4 linked regions of the Caenorhabditis elegans genome follow. The protein of the gene in region 3 interacts with the protein of the main gene of each other region in a pairwise test. Each region holds a gene or a part of one and is shown on either strand. Other genes may lie near its edges. The genes, in order: gpi-1, clik-1, abu-11 and arle-14.

Region 1 (7,486 bases), on a different chromosome or scaffold from region 3:
AAGATTTAATTCTGTGAAATTCTGAAAAATCAGTCAAAAATTTAACTCTTCAGGGAAAAATATTAAAAATTCAAATTTCTTTTTATTTTTTTAAACTAAAATTTTTAGTGTAAAACCACAAAATATCGTTTTTATTACGAAAAAAATGGGTGAGGCTAGGAAATGTGTAGTTTGTAGTCGCTGAGCCTCAACCATCAATAATTACCTTTATACTCTGTCATCAACCGCTTCAAAGCGTAACCAGCCATTATCGAGAGAAGCTGGAAAATTGCAAATGTTGAATTTTTGAGTAAAAACTTGAGGAAATGAAAATAATTAGGGTGTTTTAACCTCAAAAATCCAGAAAAAAATTTTAAAAATTAAATATTTGAAGAAAAATGCAATCTATTTTATATAGTACATGAGTTAAAACGGGTGCGTGGGAGGAACTGGGTGGGGAATACTGACCAAATTTCAACTAAAAAAGTGGCTACAGGCGGTGCAAAATGACTAGCAAAATCTCCTTTTTTTGGGGATTTCCATATAAATTATGCGTTATTCTTAATGAACGCGATGAGTCCATTGGTTGAGGCATCATGTGAGGTTACTGTATCCGCTGATGCCAATTCCGGTTGAATAACCTTTGCCAATTGCTTTCCGAGCTCAACTCTGTAAGAAAATTGATAATAGATCGATAATAAAATTGGTTGAGGCTGTCAGTCACACTACAAACTACAATTTTTGTTAGCCTCACCAAAAATATTTAAAATCAAGAAATTACGATAAAATCTAAAATGCCACGTGGATAACAGGGTTTTTCGAAATACCGGCTTAATTTCAGACTATAAACTACATTTTTTAATTCAATTAATTTTCAAAAACCGGAAACAGTACACCACGTGGATTGTAGAAACCCTATAACTAATGTCTTTTTTGAATTTCGAAAATTGGTTGAGGCTGTCACACTACAAACTACAATTATTGTTAGCCTCAACCAATTTTGAAACAGTCTTTAAAAGCCAAAATGCCATGTGAATATTAAAATTTTCAACTACATTCCGTAAATATCTAATTCTGGAATAGTAATCCAAACTTTTTTCCGACTTCGGGCCTGACTACAAACTACAACAATTCTCTGAGCCTCAACGAATCAGAAAATTCACGTGGATTTCAATTTGGATACACACGTGTGTTGTCAGAGTGTCTCATTTCGGTTTGATCTTCGGTAGATCTACAGAAAATGCGGGAGAAGAGACGCATAGTCCTCAACTGATTTTGCATGGTTTTTTCCCGAATTTTTTGTAGATCAAACCGTAATAGGACAGCCTGACACCACGTGGAAACATCGATTTTTGTAGTTTGTAGTGTGCATATGCAACACACACGTACCCCCATTGATCATAACTGCAAATATCCCAAATAATTCCCTGAACAAAGATCTTGTGCTCATAAAAAGCGATCAATGCTCCCAATGTGAATGGTGTGACAACTGGAAGTACAATAGAAGTTGTCGGTTTATTTCCTTCGAACACTTTATGTGGAAGAATCTTTGCAATCGATTCAGGGCTCATTCCAGATGATTTCAGCTCGGCTTCTGCCACGGCGGCAGTCTTTCCTTTCATTAGTGCCTCGGTTTGAGCGAGGAAGTTGGCGAGAAGAATCTGTAAATTTAATTCATTAGACTACAAACTACAAAAAAAACCGGAAATTACTTTTTCTATTTTTATTGGGAACCAAAAAAATCTCTCCTTTTTCCGAATTCTCAACAATTGAACGTTTTCAGCAAAAATTATTTTTTGGCTGAAAAATCAAAATGGGCAAAAATAAAAAGTTGTCTAAATTCATTGAAAACGGGTAATTCATATATGCAGAATTCAGAGAAACTAGGTATAACCCGTCAAAAAACATTAGAAAGTGGCAAAAATGGGTAATTTATGGCAAAAATTCACAATTTTGGTACTTCTCTAAAATGGTTCAAAAAAATTTGAGTTTTTCCTTTTCAGAAAAGTTCCAATCTTTCAAGAGAGGTTTTTTTCACATAAAAATGAACATTTTTCGTTAAAAAATTTTGAAAAAATCTAACATATTCGTTTTTTCGCTTACTTCTGAAAAAGTATATTAAAATTTGAATTTTCAAAAAAAAAATTCGTTTTTCAAAAAAATCTAAAATTCTTATTTTTCCATTATTTTCAAAAAAAATTAGAATTCTCGTTTTTTTAAAAACATTTCTTTTAAAAAACGAAAAATTTCCCATCACGTGGCATAAAAAGCACCAAAAATCCGTCATTTTTGTAGTTTGTAGTCTCTCACTCAAAATGCGGGTATCCACGTGGCATTTTTTTTCGGAAAATCGGAAATAAAAAAAATGTTTTATCCGATTTTCCGATATTTTGTTTTAAAAAAATCGGGTTTTCCCACAAAATTGGTTTATTTGTAGTTTGTAGCCCCTCAGCCTCACTCAAAATCCGGGGTTTTTTTTTTTTTATTTCAAAAAATAAAATCGAAATTTTTTGTTTTTTTTTCGATTAGTTCTCTACAAAACCTAAAACTGTTCGTCCTTGGAGAATCCACGTAGGACCAGTAGTTTTTTGTAGTTTGTAGCCTCTCAGCCTCACTGAAATCTACCTGATGATGCAATCCCCCACGAATCGGATTCAACGTCTTAACCGGAGCAATAAAATCCGCTGGAATCAGTCGAGTACCCTGATGAATCAACTGATAAAATGCGTGTTGTCCATTAGTTCCAGGTTCTCCCCAAACAATTGGTCCAGTCGAATAGTCGACACGTTGTCCGTGACGTGTCACAAATTTCCCGTTACTCTCCATATCTCCCTGTTGGAAATATGCGGCGAATCGATGCATATATTGATCATAAGGAAGAAGAGCATGAGTCTCAGCACCATAGATATTATTATAGAGTACACCAATCATTGCAAGAATAACTGGAATATTCTTTTCCAATGGAGTATTCACAAAATGCTCATCAACAGAAAATGCACCATCGAGAAGCTTCTCATAGTTATCGAATCCAATATGAACAGCAATTGATAGTCCAATAGCTGACCAAAGGGAATATCGCCCACCAACCCAATCCCAGAACTCAAACATATTCTTCTCATCAATTCCGAATTCAACAGCTTTCGTAACATTCGTTGAAAGTGCGACAAAGTGCTTAGCAACTGCTCCAGCATCTCCGGCTTTTGCCAAAAACCATTCTTTCGCTGTTTCAGCATTAGTGATTGTTTCTTGAGTTGTGAATGTCTTTGATGCAATGATGAACAGTGTTGTTTCGGCGTTGAGCTTCTTTGTGACCTCTGCCACGTGGGTTCCGTCGACGTTCGACACGAAGTGCACATTCGGTCCGATTTGGTAGTTTTTCAGCGATTCGGTGACCATGAGTGGTCCTAGATCTGATCCTCCGATTCCGATGTTCACAACGTCGGTGATTTTTTTTCCGGTGTAACCAGTCCATGAGCCTGAAATATGATTGGATGAGGTTTACACTACAAACTACATAATTTTGCCACGAAAGAAGTGATTTTTTAGAAGACTAATTAGAAAAAATTAGAGTTTTTCAGACAAAAATAACAAAAATTTCAATTTTTCAAAAAAAATAACGTTGGATTTTCTCAAAATTCTGAATTTTCACTATTTTGGTTGAGGCTCAGACACTACAAACTACAAAAATCCTTTCAGCCTCACTCAAAATTCAAAATTTTAAATATTTTGGTTGAGGCTCACACTACAAACTACAAAAATCTATTAGCCTCACTCAAAATTCTAAATTTTTACTATTTTTGGTTGAGGCTCACACTACAAACTACAAAAATCTATTAGCCTCACTCAAAATTCTAAATTTTTACTATTTTTGGTTGAGGCTCAGAGACTACAAACTACCAAAAAACTGAGCCTCTACCAACAAACTCGGTGTTGTTTTTTGTGATTTTTTGGAGTTTCGGGCTTCAAATCGCTGAGAATTTCGAAAAATAAGCGAAATTTAGCCAAATTCATGGAATTATAATTTTAAAAGCGTGGCAAAATGTTTAGAAATCCACGTGTCATCTTTACAAAAACTAACCCGAAATAATCTCATTGCAAAACTCTTTCATATGAGCCAAAACTCGATTAACATCAGGCATGACGTCCTTTCCGTCGACCAAGATTGGCCGATTGGCACGATTACGGAGTGCCACGTGGAGAACCGCACGATTTTCGGTGAAATTGATCTTTTCGGCGGAGAACATGGCATTACGGGACTCCTCGACACCACGTGACTTGGCGAGACGCATCAGAAGTTGGAATGACTCGTCAGTGATACGATTCTTTGAGAAATCAAACAGGAAATCGCCATCTGGAGTTGCGAAGAGGCGGCTGAAATAAAAATTCCAAATTATTTGGGTATATTTCTGGCTTTTTTTTGGGAAAATTTGGCTAGATTGCAGCAAAAAACAGCGTTCTACGTGGATTTTGAGTATTTCCAGATTTGGTGAGGCTCAGATCAAATTGTAGTTTGTAGCCTCTGAGCCTCAACCAATTTTATCACTCAAAAATCAACTTTTTTCGTGAATTTCTGTAAATTCTAGAATATATGAGGCTCAAGATAAGCTCAACCAACCTGTTCAACCGGAAATCCACGAATTTTCAGAAAAATTCAGGTATTTCCAGATTTGGTGAGGCTCAGAGCAAATTGTAGTTTGTAGCCTGCGCCTCAACCAACTTTGCCGCACCAAAAAACACGTGGATTGCAGTAAAAATACACTTTTTTCGTGAAATTCAGCGTATTTCAAGGATGGATAAGGCTCAGGATAAGATCAACCAACTTGTCCAAAAGAAAATCCACGTATTTGCAGAAAAATTCAGGTATTTCCAGATTTGGTGAGGCTCAGAGCAAATTGTAGTTTGTAGCCTGCGCCTCAACCACCATTATCGCACCGAAAATCACGTGGATTGCAGTAAAAATCAACTTTTTCGTGAATTTCTATAATAGTTGAGGCTCAGAATTTCTTGTAGTTTGTAGTATCAGCCTGATTGGTCAAATTATCCACGTGGGTTGCAGCGAAAATCTACTTTTTTAAGTTGATTCCTGTGAATTTTCAAGTTTAGTGAGGCTCAGAATTTATTGTAGTTTGTAGTGTGAGCCTCAACCACGTGGATTTTAGCAAAAATCAGGCATTTTTTCACATTTTTAGTTGCGGAAACTCACGTAAATTTCTCGAATCTAGCTGGATCCTTCTCGAAAAGCTCCAAAAGTTGAGCATCCTTCTCGTTGGCCTCCACGTGGCGTTTCAGCTCAACAAATGTGGCGTCTTGAGACAGAGACATGGCTGAAAAACGAAAAATTTGAGGGAAAATCACGGAAAAATTGCTGCAGAGCTTTGTTGAATACGTGCAGAATGCAAAAAAAACAACAACACGCACACACTCTGACGCAATTATTGATTTTTTTTTGCTTCGACGGGGGGATGAGAGAGGAGCAGAGAAGTTGAGGAACGTGTGGTTATAACCAATTTTCGGGAACTTTTTCGCAGAGATTTGCATTAAAAAGCTTATTTAAAAGCAGTTTTCCAGTTTAAAACATTAAATCATACCTTTTTCGGTGGAATCTCCGATGAAAAGCGTGCCAATTAGGTCAGAAAGGTAGCCGAGCATTTTTTTTTTGCGAAAAATGAAGCGAAAAAGCTCGAAAATCATCGAAACATTTGGGAAAAATCAAATATTCCCGGTTAAAACTGTAAAACTACGGTAGCTCTTTAAAGGTGCACGCGCAAAAATGCAAAACTTTACAAGTCTAGAATTTCAAGTAACTCTTCTTTAAATTATACACACGAAATTTCGTTCAAAATGATTAAAATTTCCAATCGAAAATTTGAATGGCGTGTTCTCTAACTATAAGCGCCGAACCACGCCATAATTCAGGGAGTAAACCGAAATATATAATAAACAAATCGTAAACATCAATGAACAAGGAGAGAAAAATCGATATTTTTGCGCATTTTCCTGTGATCAAACGACACGGGAAAACACTTGTTGTTTCTTTTTATTCTGATTTTTTACCCTAATACCTGATGATGATTTGAAAGTGAAAGTCGCTGTACATTGCTGACAAATTGGTTGAGGCTACAAACTACACATTTTTGTCAGCCTCAACCAACAGGCCACGTGGAAAGTGAAAAACTAATTTGTTTTTCATTAAACAAATTAATTTTTTTGCAAAACTGGAATATTCTGTTAAAAACGACACGAAAATCGGGGTTATGCAATGAAAATTTCCCTGAAAAAAAGTATTCAGCTGAATGGAAAATCCACTTGACAAATAAAATATTACAAGTCAAGGCACAGCTAGAAACATATTACATTTTGAAACAGAAACCAGTGAAAAAAGGGAGTGCGAATATTACAGGAAAACCGGTTTTGGGGTGAGAATTTTGAGAAAAATACATGGCAAATAAGAAATATTTTTAAAAATCGTTAGTTAAAAAACGCTTCGCGTCCATAACGATCGTACAGCTTTTCATAGTCCTCTATGCTCATTCCAGGCATCTCGAAATCGGCTCCGGCGAAGACGACGAGCTCCAGAAGCTGCTTGATGGCCACCTTATTAATCATTTTTACAGGGTAGAGCTGGCACAAAGAGCAAATTAGTTTGATTTGTTGGTCGAGGTACAGTTGCTCGCTGAGCTTGATACGTTCGTCGTCGGGCTCATCGAATTGGAGGATCTGAGAAAAAAAACAACTTGAAATTTATAATTTGGTGAGGCTCAGCGCGGTTTGTAGTTTGTAGTGTCTGAGCCTCAGCCATAATTTTTCAAGTGTTTTTTTTGTGAAAAACCGTACGAAAACGTGTTGTCATTCAATTTTCGGCAATTTAAAAAGAATTTTCATGATTTTTTTCACAAAAATTCCAATGTTTGACGATTTTGATTTAAAAAAAAAACGCTTTTTAGAGCGAATATAATGAAATTTGACAGATTTTATCTAAAATTTCGAATTCACATTTCTAAAATCGAGTTTTAGTGCACTTTTCCAGTGAAAACTGCATTTTGACAGAAAAATTCATAATTTGTTGAGGCTCGGCGCGATTTGTAGTTTGTAGTGTCTGAGCCTCAACTATCAATTTCCAGTTAATAATAAAAGTGTTTTAAAAACCATTTTTCAAGTGTTTAAATTGTTTGAAAGCGTGTTTTTATACATTTTCGGCAATTTGAGAATAATTTTCACAATTTTTCCTTAAAAAATGCCACATTTTGGCGTTTTTCAATTAAAAAAAATCCCCGAAAATTGATAATTCGGTGAGGCTCAGCGCGATTTGTAGTTTGTAGTGTGTGATCCATTCTTACCCGATCCGACGAAATAACCGTATACGTCTTCTCTCCAGGCTTTCTATACCGAATTGTTGGATCTAAAACCAATAACCGGTCTTCTGCATTCAAAAAGCACGGCGTAATGATCCTTCCCGACGGTTTTGAATAATTTATTTTCATTTTTCTCTGGCGATAATCCTCTGATG
Region 2 (5,157 bases), on a different chromosome or scaffold from region 3:
CCGCGTATATGTAGAAGTTATTCAGTATTTCACGAAGAGTTAACTTATAATTTTGGAGTGCATATAATTAGATTGTGAGCATTTTTAATGATGAGATGGAAAAGTTTTCAGTGATATCGGGTTGCTATATGAACAAAGAGCAAAAAACAAATGTGAGTACTTTACGAGTATTCCAAGAAGCTACTTGGTTATATACTTTGGTCGATGTTATTTTGGAATACTTAAATACGAAAAAACAACACGGAATTAAAATAAAAACCTAATACATAGAAAGAATATTTTTGTTTGACTTCCAACATTATTACAGGTGAAAACTGAGTTTTTACAGCTTTTTGACTACAAACAAATATATTATAGCATTCTATTAAATAGTGATATTTTGTGTTTTAGACCTTTAAACTACAAGTCATTAAGAAAAATTAAAAGTAAACCCACCAATAAACCAAATAAATACAGAATTATAGCTTTAATCTCCCCTTATTTTAAGTTTTTTTTTTCAATTCCAGAAAATTCGATGCAATCAGATTCATTTTCTAATCTCGGCAAAACTAAATTGAAGTTAAAGTAACACATGGATGAAAGGCAAGGCTCATAGTTTTATTATAGTACAATCTCAAAAAAATTGTAAGAATTCAAAAAAAAAATAATTCAAAGAAAAAAGGATATAAAAAGCATGTGGGTGGAGATGATGGTTTTTTGGATGGATTTGAATGGAAGATGTAATTACCACATACGACGGACATACTCTCCGCGGACGTCACGTGGAGTACCGAAGGCAGTCATACCGGTCTGAAATTGTTTTGAGAATTAGTTGGAGCATAAACAAGAAATAATATTTTACCTGGTTAGCATGATCAGCCTCCTTCTGTCCTGTCCAGAAAGGAACATCCGGTCGGCGGGCGATATCAGCTGGCAGATCCTCGTGAGTATCGTCAGTGAATGGAGTGTACACCTGTCTTGGCTGTCCGAATCCGGTCTTTCCGGCTTGTGATTCGAGGAAGTTGACTCCCATCTGGTATGGAATCATTCCCTGTGATCGTTGGTCTTGAGCCTGCATGAAGGCGACGGTGTTGTTACGGAAGGCTCCGAATCCGGTCATACCGGCTTGCGAAGCTCCCTCCTTCCATCCAGAGGTCTGTCTTGAAAGGGTTCCTTCGTCGTGTGGCATGTCTCCGCGAACCTCGTCCTTGTACCTAGAATATGTTTAATTTTATAAAAGCGTTATATAGAAGTGTAAGTTCCAAATAGTATAAAAAATAAATTTATGAATTGGAAAAAAATAGTTTTTAGTTAAGTTTATGTTCTTACAAATTCAATTCCAATAGTAAGCCTCTATTCTGAGCACATTAAAAAACTCTAAAACTATTTCAATCGTGCCAGATGTTCCAAATACTTATTAGAAAATGTTCAGGCAACCTAACAAGGCTGTAATCCTATTTCACCAGAAACCAAATTTCAAAAAATCTTACTTGGTGATGTTGTGACGTGGCATACCGAATCCGGTCATACCAGCTTGGTTGGCAAACTTGTTGGTTCCCATCTGAAGGTGAATGAATCCTTGCGAGTCACGATCCTGGTCGTTGGTCCTTCTCACTGAAAATGCCAATTCATAAACTTTATACAATTATTCTCTGTTGTATACCTACCATCAACAATACGTGGCATTCCGATTCCGGTCATTCCAGCTTGAGATGCGAGCTTGTTGGTTCCAGATTGAAGTGGAACGATTCCATCGGAAGCACGTGCCTTCTCTTCTGGAACTTCTGAAGCTCCTCCGGTTCCCTTGGTCTTGTAGTTGACATCACGAACAGCTCCGAAGCCTAGAAAAAACAAGCAGTTTAAAATAATTTTGAAGGTTCAGATCTTACCGGACTGTCCCTTTTGGGAAGCGAATTTGTTGGTTCCGGACTGAAGCCAGGTGGATCCCTTGAGGTTGGCAATCTTCTTCTCGTCAGTGATTTCAGCCAAGTTATCAGACTTAACTTTGTCGATGACGTCACGGGGAACTCCGAATCCGGTCATTCCCTTCTGGGAAGCATACTTGTTAGATCCAGCTTGAATTGGGATAATTCCCTCGGATCTCATCAACTTTTCCTTGGTGTGGATGGTTGATGGCTTTCCAGATGAGTAGTTTTGTTGCCTAAAATTTAACAAAATAATTACTTTTCCTCGAAGTATTCAGTAAAATTCTTACTTTCTCAAAACACTCTGTGGAATGCTTGGAGTGAAGTTGACTTGTTGTCTTCCTGGTGTTGGACTCTTGAGAGACGCTGGTGGAGCAGCAGCTCTTGGGGAGGCAGCGGCCGGAGCCGGAGCTTCCTCCTCGGCCTCTGGCTCTTCAGCCTATAAATGTTCAATAAAACTCGTGTAAACTGAATGTTCATTTATCTATCAAATCTATATCTCACTACCATTATCATTCATTGTCAAACTAGAATCGAAAATTGCGCCGAATGGCGTCAAAGTTGTGTAATGCGGGAAAATAGTGAGAAGAATGCGGAGGTTAGGTGAGCAGTTTGGGGAGCTCCCTCACTTTACAACGGTGCCATCGGTAGAATGACAAAGGCATCGATGAGGAAAATATTTTCGAACTGGGAACTTTGGAACTAGGTAAGAACAAGATTTGAAAAGATACAAAACACATCAAGAGAAAAAAAAATAGGTGGGGGAGGTTGAAAAATAGTAAATCTCAATAGTAAATAGTAAAATAGTAAAGTCTAGTTCCAAAACGGTTACACTAACGAAGGACTTTTTTTACAAAAATTTAAGTTTACGAAGTGGATCTAATTTCAGAATAGAATAGTGGTGAATGCCATAGGGCTTAAAAATGCCTACCAGCTTGTGTGTAGGCATAACTCGCCGGAGAAACCTACGCCTACTTTGCAGTGAAATAATTTCAAAATTGTAATAGTTATAATTTACTCGCGGCAAAGTAAACTTAAGTCAAGTAAAAATACGCTTGCATTTTTGGCACGTAAGTCGGCATTTTTAAAGTTTTGTAGAAAAATACGGTCAAAATGGAATAAACACCACGATAGTGATAATTATTAGAAATATGAAGAGAATAAAAAAAATTTAAAGCCGAAAAATGGCAAAAAACGATTACCTCTGGCTCTTGGTTCTCGTCGGCGACTGGCTCGTCCTCCTCGATCTCCTCCTCATCTTCGTACTCGTCTTCGACGTCAGACATGATTGAAAATGCGATGTAGTAGTGATACGAGACCTAAACACGTCCCAGAATGAGGGCCAACTTGGGAGTGCCTTCGACGATCGCTCAAAGTAGGTGGGCGGAGTCTGCCACATCCTTCCCGACGGCAACGGTGGCGGCGGCGGGAGGAAAAGATATCGAAATCGAGAGAGACGTCGCCCACAATCAACCAGGAGGCATCTTCCCGAATGTAATATTCTTGGAATCTCTTGACTTCTCGGCGTGTTTCGTCGATGCTCACCAAGTCTTCGTCTCCGACGGAAGTGTAATGTTTCGACGATGGGATCGGCAGAAGAAGACGGGAAGGAAGAAGTGAGCTCTCTCCCGTGGATGAATGTGGTTCGGGGGCAGCTATGTAGACTTGGCATGAGAGTAAAAGAGGAGCAAAACAAGTGGATAGAGAAGAAGAACAGATAAAGAAGAAAAATGTTAGAAGAGCGATAATCTACGAAGGATTCCAGATCGAGTGAGAACAGATGCCAATCTAGATGAAATGTGGCATGCCGAGCGGAACAAAAAATACATGAAAACTCAGGGAATCCCTCGAAAATCCTATAATATTTCTATCTAGATGTAAGATGGAGGGTGTTATATGTAAATTTTGTGGTGTTTTGGTTTCGTAATTGAGATTTTTACAGGACAGAATATAAATATTGCAAGAATTACGTGATTTTTCAGAACTAGAAATTCCACCCAAGAGGGGCGTAATGATATCTACTTAATACCATCTCATTTCAACAAATTTTAGAATGCAAAACAAACACATTTAGAAAAGTCAATAATTACAGTATTAAAAGCTCTACATCATTTTAAAAATTGCCTATACCGCCTGAAGGCATGCTCAAGCTGAACGAATGCTCAAACAGTGTATTAGACGTAGTTAGTTAATTTTTTGTCTATAGGTTTTCCAAAATGTTGAGTTATTGTTGTTGTGGTTTCTTTTTTCATGTTTTCTGTTTTTCTTTCTATTACATACGTTTTTTTCTGTGTTGCTCCCCTTTCCCTTGCTGATCACACAATACTCGATCCCTGTCACTTAAGACTTTTACCCCCTTCTTCCCTCATCTCCTCTTGCTCTTCTCTGCTTTTTTGAGAGATCTTCTCGTTGTACAACACGCGGCTAAAACATGTGCATTCAATTTCTTTGTCAGCCGCAAAACGAGAAGTTTTTATTGGGATAACGTGGATTGTAAATCGTCTTCATCGTTGCGGAAAAGTGAGGGTGGAGAAAAAGTGATGAAACAAACAAATAAATGAGAATTGAATGTGCGTTTTTTTTTGTCATTTGATTTTTCAAGTTATTGAACAATTGAAGACAGTGTATGCACTTTGTTGCTTGATGAGTGTCGAGAACACGTCACACAGTTTATGACTGAAAAAAGATATTTCCAGGTATGATACGGTAGAAAGTTTTGTTACCCCATAACAGCTGTGCTTTCATCGTGCTGCGAAATGGCTTGTTGGATAACAGGTGAACTAGCGTGGTAGCTGCTCCATGACATAAGCCGAATATAAGAGATGCTGGGATTATCCCTGAAAATCAATAGATTTTTTACAAATGTTCCATCTTTCAGAATTGCTCTATTCGAATCAAACTTCTGATCAATTGATTTTAACCACTTAACAAAAATATTCGGGCAGAAAGCACATCAGCTAAAAAAATTATGATCGATTTGTTTAAACAATTTTTAAAATTTTCATAATATTATGAGTTTGACTGAAAGTGAGTGGAAAAACAAACCGGATAGCATTAATTCACATATGTCGATTGAAATCGATGTGCAGCAAAAACAGATGAATTTTAACACGGAACTGATAACCTAATATGTAAACAAATTTAGCTCTATTATTGCATAAAAGTTGCAAATAGAAATTTAATCATTCACGTAACCAAGCCGCGCACAAACCAGAAACTTACTTGGATCCGTAATCAAATTTGCTGCTCCTGC
Region 3 (4,201 bases):
GTTCAAGGACCATGAACAGTGTCAGAGGCCTCGATGTGGAAACCAACGACGATTTTCGAGATATTTAAATTGAGATATGATATGAATAAAACATTTTGTCTAATAAAATTTTTCAAAAAGTTTCACACGCAGGATTTATGTACGAAATGTTTAATTATTATTGCGTGGAGGTTTTTTGTGTCAAAATCTATAACAACTAATATTCCCAAAAGACTGGAATTAAACACCGAAAACCCTTATTGACGCAGGTAACACCCTTGATGACCGTTCATTATTTTAAGTTTCTTACCGCTTTTCAAATATAACACGTAATTGGTGGGTTTAGCTTTTGTGGTAAAACTTCAGTTTCAGAAATTGAGTGGAAAAGAAAAAAAAGAAGATAGATGTTCCGCAGATTATAGAGATTGAAAGCTAAAATTTACATGACTGAATGATTCATAAATTTTTCTATTCTAGAAATTTCTCTGTAATTATCATCCCAAGAGGGAATAATAATGATAAAATATTTAGTGAAGATGTATGATGCAGGAGATGAACATATGTAGAAAACAATTTATTTATCAAAATATACACAAAAAACCATCACAAAGTTATTTTTTCCCAAAAATTAATAATTAAAGTTAATTTACTTTCTGCAGGAAGCCGAACAACTCTGCTGACAAGCTGGCTGACACTGCGAGATTGGTTGCTGTTGCTGAATGCATTGGGTGTTGCAGCTTTGCTCACATTGTGGCTGACACTGTGGGGACTGACGAGCAACTGGAACATTGATGGTAAGCTGAATTTGTTGTTGCGTTTGAACTGGAGCTGCTGGAGCAGCTGGGGAGCAGGCTGGCTGGCATTGAGCGTCGCATTGTGGAGCGCACTGGTTCACTGGGGTCTGCTGGACTTGGCATTCCTGGTTGCACTGGGTTTGGCAAGTGTTGCACTGGGAGATGGTTCCTCCGACCTACAAATTTAGGTTGGATTTCTTTAAATCTAGATTTAGAAGTAATACTATTAATATGTTACCTGAACATTGGTGTCTCTGTATGGCTGGTAGGTTGGTGCAGCAGTCTGGGAAGCTCCTTGGTATGATGGAATGGCTCCTGGCTGTTGGTAGTTGTTGTTGGTTTGGTAGTTGTTCTGGGCCTGTGGCTGGTAGTTGACTTGGTTGTAAGCGGAGCCAGATGGCGTGGCACATTGTGGCTGGCACGATTGATCACATGATGATTGGCACTGTTGCACTGGCTGCTGTTGCTGCTGGCATGTGTTAAGGCACGAGTTTTGGCAGGTATTGCATTGACTGGCTTGTTGCTGTTGTGGTGGGGCAGTATTGTACTCGGATCTTCCGGTGTAGGCTGGGATTTGTCCTGGCTGAGCGTAGGTTTGCTGTTGGATCAATTGTTGAGAGTACTGATCATCGGATTGACATGTCGTCTGGCATTGCTGCTGGCACTGTTGCTGTGGTTGTTGTTGTTGTGGGCAAGCAGCTTGACAATCTTGTTGGCACTGTTGCTGAGCTGGCTGCTGAAGCTGAACTGGCTGAGCGCATGCGGACTGGCAAGTGGAAGAGCAAGATGATTGGCACTGGGCGATTGGCTTAAATAATATGAAATGGCTAACTGGGTTGAATTTGGTTTGACTAACCTGTTGCTGGGCAACACAGCTCTGTTCACAGGAGCTCTGACAAGTTGGTGCACACTGTTGTTGCTGATACTGTTGAGCGCATCCGCAGCTTGATGGCTGTTGAGCTTGAGCGCAGGAGCAAGATTGTTGGGCGGTGTTGGTTTGAGCTGGTTGGCAGTTGCATTGTGGAGCAGCTGGAATGGCGCATCCACATGAAGATTGGCGACGAGCGCGGAGGAACTGAAAAAGGAACGACTTAATTTTTCAACTTAATTTTTTAGTCTTCTGGATAATATCTCATTTGCAAAAAACCTTCTAAATAGGCCCTTGCAAAAAAAATTAAGCGGCAGAGGAGAACTTAGAACTAGAAAAATTTCGATCTGAAGTTGCTATTAGTGTATTTTTTTTATTACTTTAGAAGCCCGTAAAATTGAAAATCAGAAAAACCCCTTGAGTGAAAAAATTTCAGATTTTTTCAAAAAATTAAAAATTCCAAAAAAATTTACGATTGTTAGCCAGCTCCTAAACATGCTAGAAGCTCTTGAAAGTCAGCAAAAATTCACACTTGGCACATTTTTACTGCCCTCGATAGTTCGAAAGTTGTGAAAAATTCATTGAAAACTTTTCAGAACGACTTTTTTGCAGCTCAAAATACTCCCCTGTTGCTAAATTTTCAGTAGTAAAATAATGAAGTCAAACGATAAACTATTTGAAACATATATTAAGAAGTTCCTATATTTTACTTAATTCATATTCAAGTTATGCAATTGCTTGTGAGTGAGCACGAAATGTTTTAAAATTAAAAAATAAGTATTTATAATATAAGAGTTAGAAAAGGGGAACAAATGAAATATTTATAATTAGATTCATAAAAATAATACATACCACATTCTCCTCAGCAGCCACCGCAAGTGCTGAAACCGCCAAAAGCGAAAAGAGAATTGAAAATTTGGTGTTCATTTCAAGCTTGTCAGAGTGAGTGATGATTGTCCCAATACATGCTCTTGCTTATATATCTTCCCGTTGCAATCAGTTAAACATCGCCCCCTCTCCTCTACTACCACCTCTGTCCCAAATTCCGGTTTCTTCGAGTGATGCGTCTCCAAATTTTTTGCGTGTGCCTGTGTGTGTGTGTGCTCATGTGTTTGGAAGAGCAGAGCAAGAGGGGGAGGGCGTGTTGTTATGTTGACATGTTGTTATTTTTTTGTTTTTTACTTTCTAGTATTCACAAGGGTTACAGTTGAAGAACTGGAGGGACGTGATCTTTCAGGACTTGGTCGATGTCAAAAGTCTTCCGGTGGTCTTTCAGCAGCCATCACAAACTACAGCAAAATATCTTTCTTCTTTAAATAATCTTTCTGATTAATTTGCAGTCACAAATTCAGTTCCTCATTCCTCATTACTCATAGAGTTATTACAAAGACAAAAATAGATATTTGAGAGTTCACTCGGTCAATCACCATTTCTAAAGTTCTTACTTTTCTTCCCAACAACATTAATTATCCCTGTGAAGTCTAGACTATGATATAATTGTTGTTGCTCAGAAAATAATCATGGAACATATTTGCAAATAAATAGATTTTTGTATATGGTGTAAATGTCATGAGTAATATATTACGTAATAACATTCTGACAGGACAATAACGTATGCTCCATGGGGTTTCAGGACGAATGACATGTTTTCTAGAAACTACATGAGTAAAATAAATTAATAACAAGATTTTGACAAATTCAAAACCCAATGGCAAAAGTATCATTTTCAACTTTAAATGGTTATGTTTGCAAATATAAGCTGTTTTTGTTGCTCTAGGAAGATATCAGTTAAAAACTCTTTAAAAAGTTATTAAAATGTATGAAGATTGCTTTCATTATTCTCAAACTTGTCATGTAAAACATCAAAAACCTGCCAGTCTATGACCTACAAATTGCGTCAATTGTTTGATGTTCTAAACTTGGTGAGAACTAGTTTACCAGCGCTGAATCTTTTTTGTGCTCAAAGCGGAATGGAATTTTTTGATCTTAGTCATTGCATCTTTACTCTTGTGGAGGTGCACTCATACTAATATCATATCATATAACCTGATAGTCTTGCCAATATTGCGGGAAACTGATAAATCCACTCGGCAAATAGTTTTGGTGCAGTTTTCGATATTTAGTACGAATGTTTTTATAAAATTATTTCAAGGGAAACCTTGAATACTTTGTAAAATTACATTGTACCTTTTTGCAGATAGAGGTCTTAAATTCATATTACATTTTTTTACAGCGCCTTCACACCCACCCAAATCCAAATTCCGTTGAATTGTTTTCATTGATACTCATGATTTTTTGTTACCACAATCGCTCACGCTTTTCAAGAGATTATTCTTGAGGAGCATGTTTCCTTAGGATCAAGGGTGTGGGAAGAACATTGCGAGAGTGAGAATGAGCACGGAAAATGACCGGTCTTTATGAGAGCGGAAGTATGTATACACTATCTCTATCTTGTTAGACAAATAATCAACACATGTAGTAGCTAATGTAGGAATGCTAATTATGTTAAGACGTGTGGGGGGATTAGATGCTGTGAATGAGCAGTTCTACAAAAGATCAA
Region 4 (3,426 bases), on a different chromosome or scaffold from region 3:
AATTATAGATCATCGAGAAACAAAAATTTTTATAGAAAATTAATAAACAATTGCTTTTTTCTAGATTTTTTATTTTTAATACAAATAAAAGAAACACTCACTTATCAATAGGCTCATCAAACGATCGCTGGGGATCTTTCAACGTGACATTATTGAGAATAAACGTCCAAACGTTATCACAATATCGATAAGTGAGCAGTTGTGTCGCACAAAAATTCATTTTCTCTTTTGGAAGCCGCGAGATTTGCTTGTTCATGCTTTTATCAAATTGTTGCAGAACTTTCGAAGCAAGAGATTTCGTGAGAAGTCCTTCGGATTCCATGTCCTCAAGAGTTTTATCGAGTGCCTGACCCAGTGTGGTCCCTCGGTAAAGAGCGTATGACGACATTTCTGGAAGATTCTGAAATATCGTTGGATTAAATTTTTCTCGAGAAGATGCCAGATATATTTTCAGATTATCAACCGAGAAACTATGGATTAGTATGACAAAAAAGAACAAAAACAAACAATATCTTTAGTTTTTAATGAACATCGAGATTGAATTTTTCACAAAGACATGTATAAAACAGTTCAAAATAGATAATACCAGTACAAGAAAAAGGGGAACATACATAAGAGGTTAAAATTGATAAAACGATAAGGCATTTAATCCTTGATTTGGCCCGGAAAATAAGGATTAATATTGACAACAGGGCCCGGGGCTTCCGTCACTGTGTACATCTCCTCGACGCGTATCACCATTTCTTTTCGATTTTGACGACATCCGATGAGACATTTGCGAGCTGAAAAATGCATTTTTCTTTGTTTAAAGAATTTTTAGAACAAATATTTTTAGTTAATGAATATCATCTCTTACATTTGCACTGCTTACATGGCCAATGGCACCCATCACACTCCACCACGAGACAATCACAAAGATCGAAAAACAAAGTCTGTCCTTTTGCGGTAACCGAAAGTTTTCCTGTTTTGTCATGATGCAAAGGTTCGTCTCTCAGATCCGCCTGCTTCTCCGCGGCTACACGTTTCGAGCGGTTGGTGCTAATAATATCCACAGAGTCGGGCAAAAATCGAGACATTTCATCTCCTGGATTCGCGAACTGGAGGCCTTGAAGCTCTCGGTGTGCCATTCTCGTTCGACGGCTCGTTCCTGAACTTTCCTTTCGAGATGATGGCTGCAACTTCTGGGAACTTTGTTAAAATTTTCTTTATTCAAAAGCGTACCTTTGTTTCGAAATCGTCAAAAAGCTCCGCATCGACTTCATCGCAAATCTCGGAATCTTGTTGCATTTCACTATCCGTCGAGAAATCATTTTCAAGCTGAAAAAAATACAAAAATTAAATACATTAAAATTTCAAATTTCAAACCTCTGCTGCAGCTTTCGCCAGACCGGCAATTTGTGCGAGAACGTCATTGGAGCTCATTTTTAGAATTATTGGTTCAGAAATTTAGTAGGAAATATGATTTATATCGATTTAATTTGAATATATCCGAGGAAATTCTATTATTCGATATGCTCTCCTCGCGGGAAATAACATGTGCGTACCACTTGCGAAAAAGCGCGCCGCGCGTTGCATTCTGTGACCACGCCCTCATTAATTTCTTATTCATTCAGTTCCTTTGAGTGTTTTTCATGAAATTTCTGCTGTCAATTTATTATTTTTAAAATATTTTTCTAAACGTTAGTTAACTTTTAGTTTGTTACAGATGCTACATAATGGGGAAGGCGGAATGAGTGTTAATGATCTTCAAGAGCTCATCGAGCGACGGATACCCGATAATCGAGCTCAACTGGAAACGAGTCATGCGAATCTTCAACAAGTTGCCGCGTATTGTGAGGATAATTATATACAATCAAACGTGTGGTTTAATTTTTTCTTTTAAGTTTATGAATTAAACGTTTTCAGAATAAATCTGCTGCGCTAGAGGAATCCAAGAAATTCGCGATCCAGGCACTCGCCAGCGTAGCCTACCAGATTAACAAGATGGTTACGTAAGTATTTCAATTAATTTGTTTTAATTATGAATCTTTTTTTCAGAGATTTACACGATATGCTTGCTCTACAAACCGATAAAGTGAACTCTTTAACAAATCAAGTTCAATATGTTAGCCAAGTAGTTGATGTACATAAAGAGAAGCTTGCAAGACGAGAAATTGGTTCTCTCACAACCAATAAAACATTATTCAAGCAACCCAAAATCATTGCACCAGCAATCCCAGATGAAAAGCAGAGATATCAACGAACGCCCATCGATTTTTCTGTTCTTGACGGAATAGGGCATGGTGTCAGAACATCGGATCCACCGAGAGCAGCACCAATCTCAAGAGCAACTTCATCAATTTCTGGCAGTTCTCCATCACAATTTCACAATGAATCTCCAGCGTATGGAGTTTATGCTGGTGAACGAACGGCTACGTTAGGAAGAACAATGAGACCGTATGCTCCATCAATTGCTCCATCGGATTATCGGTTGCCACAGGTGAACATTTGAAATATTCATAGAGGCTGAAAATAATTTGCTTTTCGTGTTTTTGACAAAACGTTTTCAAAAAAAAAAGGGAGCGAAAAATTCTGACATAACTTATACATTTTAAATTTTAAACTTTTTTTTCTGAAAAATACACTCAATATTGAAAAAAAAGTGAACCATTGATAAATTTATTCAAAAAACGGTTTTTTTGACCCAAAACGACCGCATTTCATAATGAGACTTCTGAAAATATCGAAAAAAAATTTAGAGCGAGCCTGAATAAGAATCTGAAATCCTTGTTACAGCAGTTAGATACAGTATTTATTGAATAATCACATAATTAATTTTGAAATTTTTTAGAAGTCTTTTTATGAAATTCAATGTTTCAGGCTAGTTTTTGTCGACTTCAGACTAAACAACTAATTTTTAAAAAATCAGCTCATTTCCTTTTCAAAAAATTAATCAAGTTTTTTCTAACATAATCCGATTACTTTTTACAGGTCACACCACAATCAGAATCACGAATCGGCCGTCAAATGAGCCACGGATCAGAGTTCGGAGATCATATGAGCGGTGGTGGTGGAAGCGGAAGTCAACACGGATCATCAGACTATAATTCCATTTATCAACCTGATCGTTACGGAACTATTCGAGCTGGTGGTCGGACTACAGTGGATGGTAGCTTTTCTATTCCCAGACTATCATCTGCACAAAGTAGTGCTGGAGGTCCAGAATCACCAACATTCCCACTTCCACCACCAGCTATGAATTATACTGGATATGTTGCACCGGGAAGTGTGGTACAACAACAACAACAACAACAAATGCAACAACAAAATTATGGAACTATTCGAAAATCAACGGTGAACCGACATGATCTTCCACCTCCACCAAATTCTTTGCTCACTGGAATGTCAAGTCGAATGCCAACACAAGATGATATGGATGATCTACCA

Evidence for each region.
Region 1: the proteins of abu-11 (region 3) and gpi-1 interact in a two-hybrid assay, tested with the Caenorhabditis elegans proteins (one large-scale study listed by BioGRID).
Region 2: the proteins of abu-11 (region 3) and clik-1 interact in a two-hybrid assay, tested with the Caenorhabditis elegans proteins (one large-scale study listed by BioGRID).
Region 4: the proteins of abu-11 (region 3) and arle-14 interact in a two-hybrid assay, tested with the Caenorhabditis elegans proteins (one large-scale study listed by BioGRID).

The regions. Positions count from the first base shown.
Region 1 is NC_003279.8:13,574,472-13,581,957, reverse strand, and holds gpi-1 (Glucose-6-phosphate isomerase), read right to left. Parts: upstream 5,811-7,486; 5' UTR 5,671-5,810; coding exon 5,568-5,670; intron 5,304-5,567; coding exon 5,183-5,303; intron 4,351-5,182; coding exon 4,058-4,350; intron 3,456-4,057; coding exon 2,605-3,455; intron 1,641-2,604; coding exon 1,369-1,640; intron 649-1,368; coding exon 528-648; downstream 1-527. Other genes in the region: ubc-14 (Ubiquitin-conjugating enzyme E2 G2), read right to left, coding at 206-248; nyn-2 (Zc3h12a-like Ribonuclease NYN domain-containing protein), read right to left, coding at 6,448-6,696, 7,317-7,486.
Region 2 is NC_003283.11:6,765,263-6,770,419, forward strand, and holds clik-1 (Calponin-like protein OV9M), read right to left. Parts: upstream 3,240-5,157; 5' UTR 3,191-3,239; coding exon 3,107-3,190; intron 2,344-3,106; coding exon 2,195-2,343; intron 2,141-2,194; coding exon 1,869-2,140; intron 1,821-1,868; coding exon 1,647-1,820; intron 1,594-1,646; coding exon 1,470-1,593; intron 1,194-1,469; coding exon 842-1,193; intron 790-841; coding exon 724-789; 3' UTR 506-723; downstream 1-505. Other genes in the region: T25F10.1 (uncharacterized protein), read left to right, coding at 3,240-3,524; srh-30 (Serpentine Receptor, class T), read right to left, coding at 4,507-4,580, 4,628-4,741, 5,127-5,157.
Region 3 is NC_003280.10:191,967-196,167, forward strand, and holds abu-11 (Activated in Blocked Unfolded protein response), read right to left. Parts: upstream 2,593-4,201; 5' UTR 2,569-2,592; coding exon 2,494-2,568; intron 1,849-2,493; coding exon 1,630-1,848; intron 1,582-1,629; coding exon 1,012-1,581; intron 950-1,011; coding exon 626-949; 3' UTR 543-625; downstream 1-542. Other genes in the region: T01D1.8 (ZP domain-containing protein), read left to right, coding at 1-73.
Region 4 is NC_003281.10:5,691,010-5,694,435, reverse strand, and holds arle-14 (ARF7 effector protein C-terminal domain-containing protein), read right to left. Parts: upstream 1,487-3,426; 5' UTR 1,423-1,486; coding exon 1,366-1,422; intron 1,318-1,365; coding exon 1,222-1,317; intron 1,182-1,221; coding exon 857-1,181; intron 783-856; coding exon 646-782; 3' UTR 501-645; downstream 1-500. Other genes in the region: B0336.13 (Transcription initiation factor IIA small chain homolog), read right to left, coding at 102-388; abi-1 (SH3 domain-containing protein), read left to right, coding at 1,730-1,858, 1,906-1,991, 2,038-2,479, 2,971-3,426.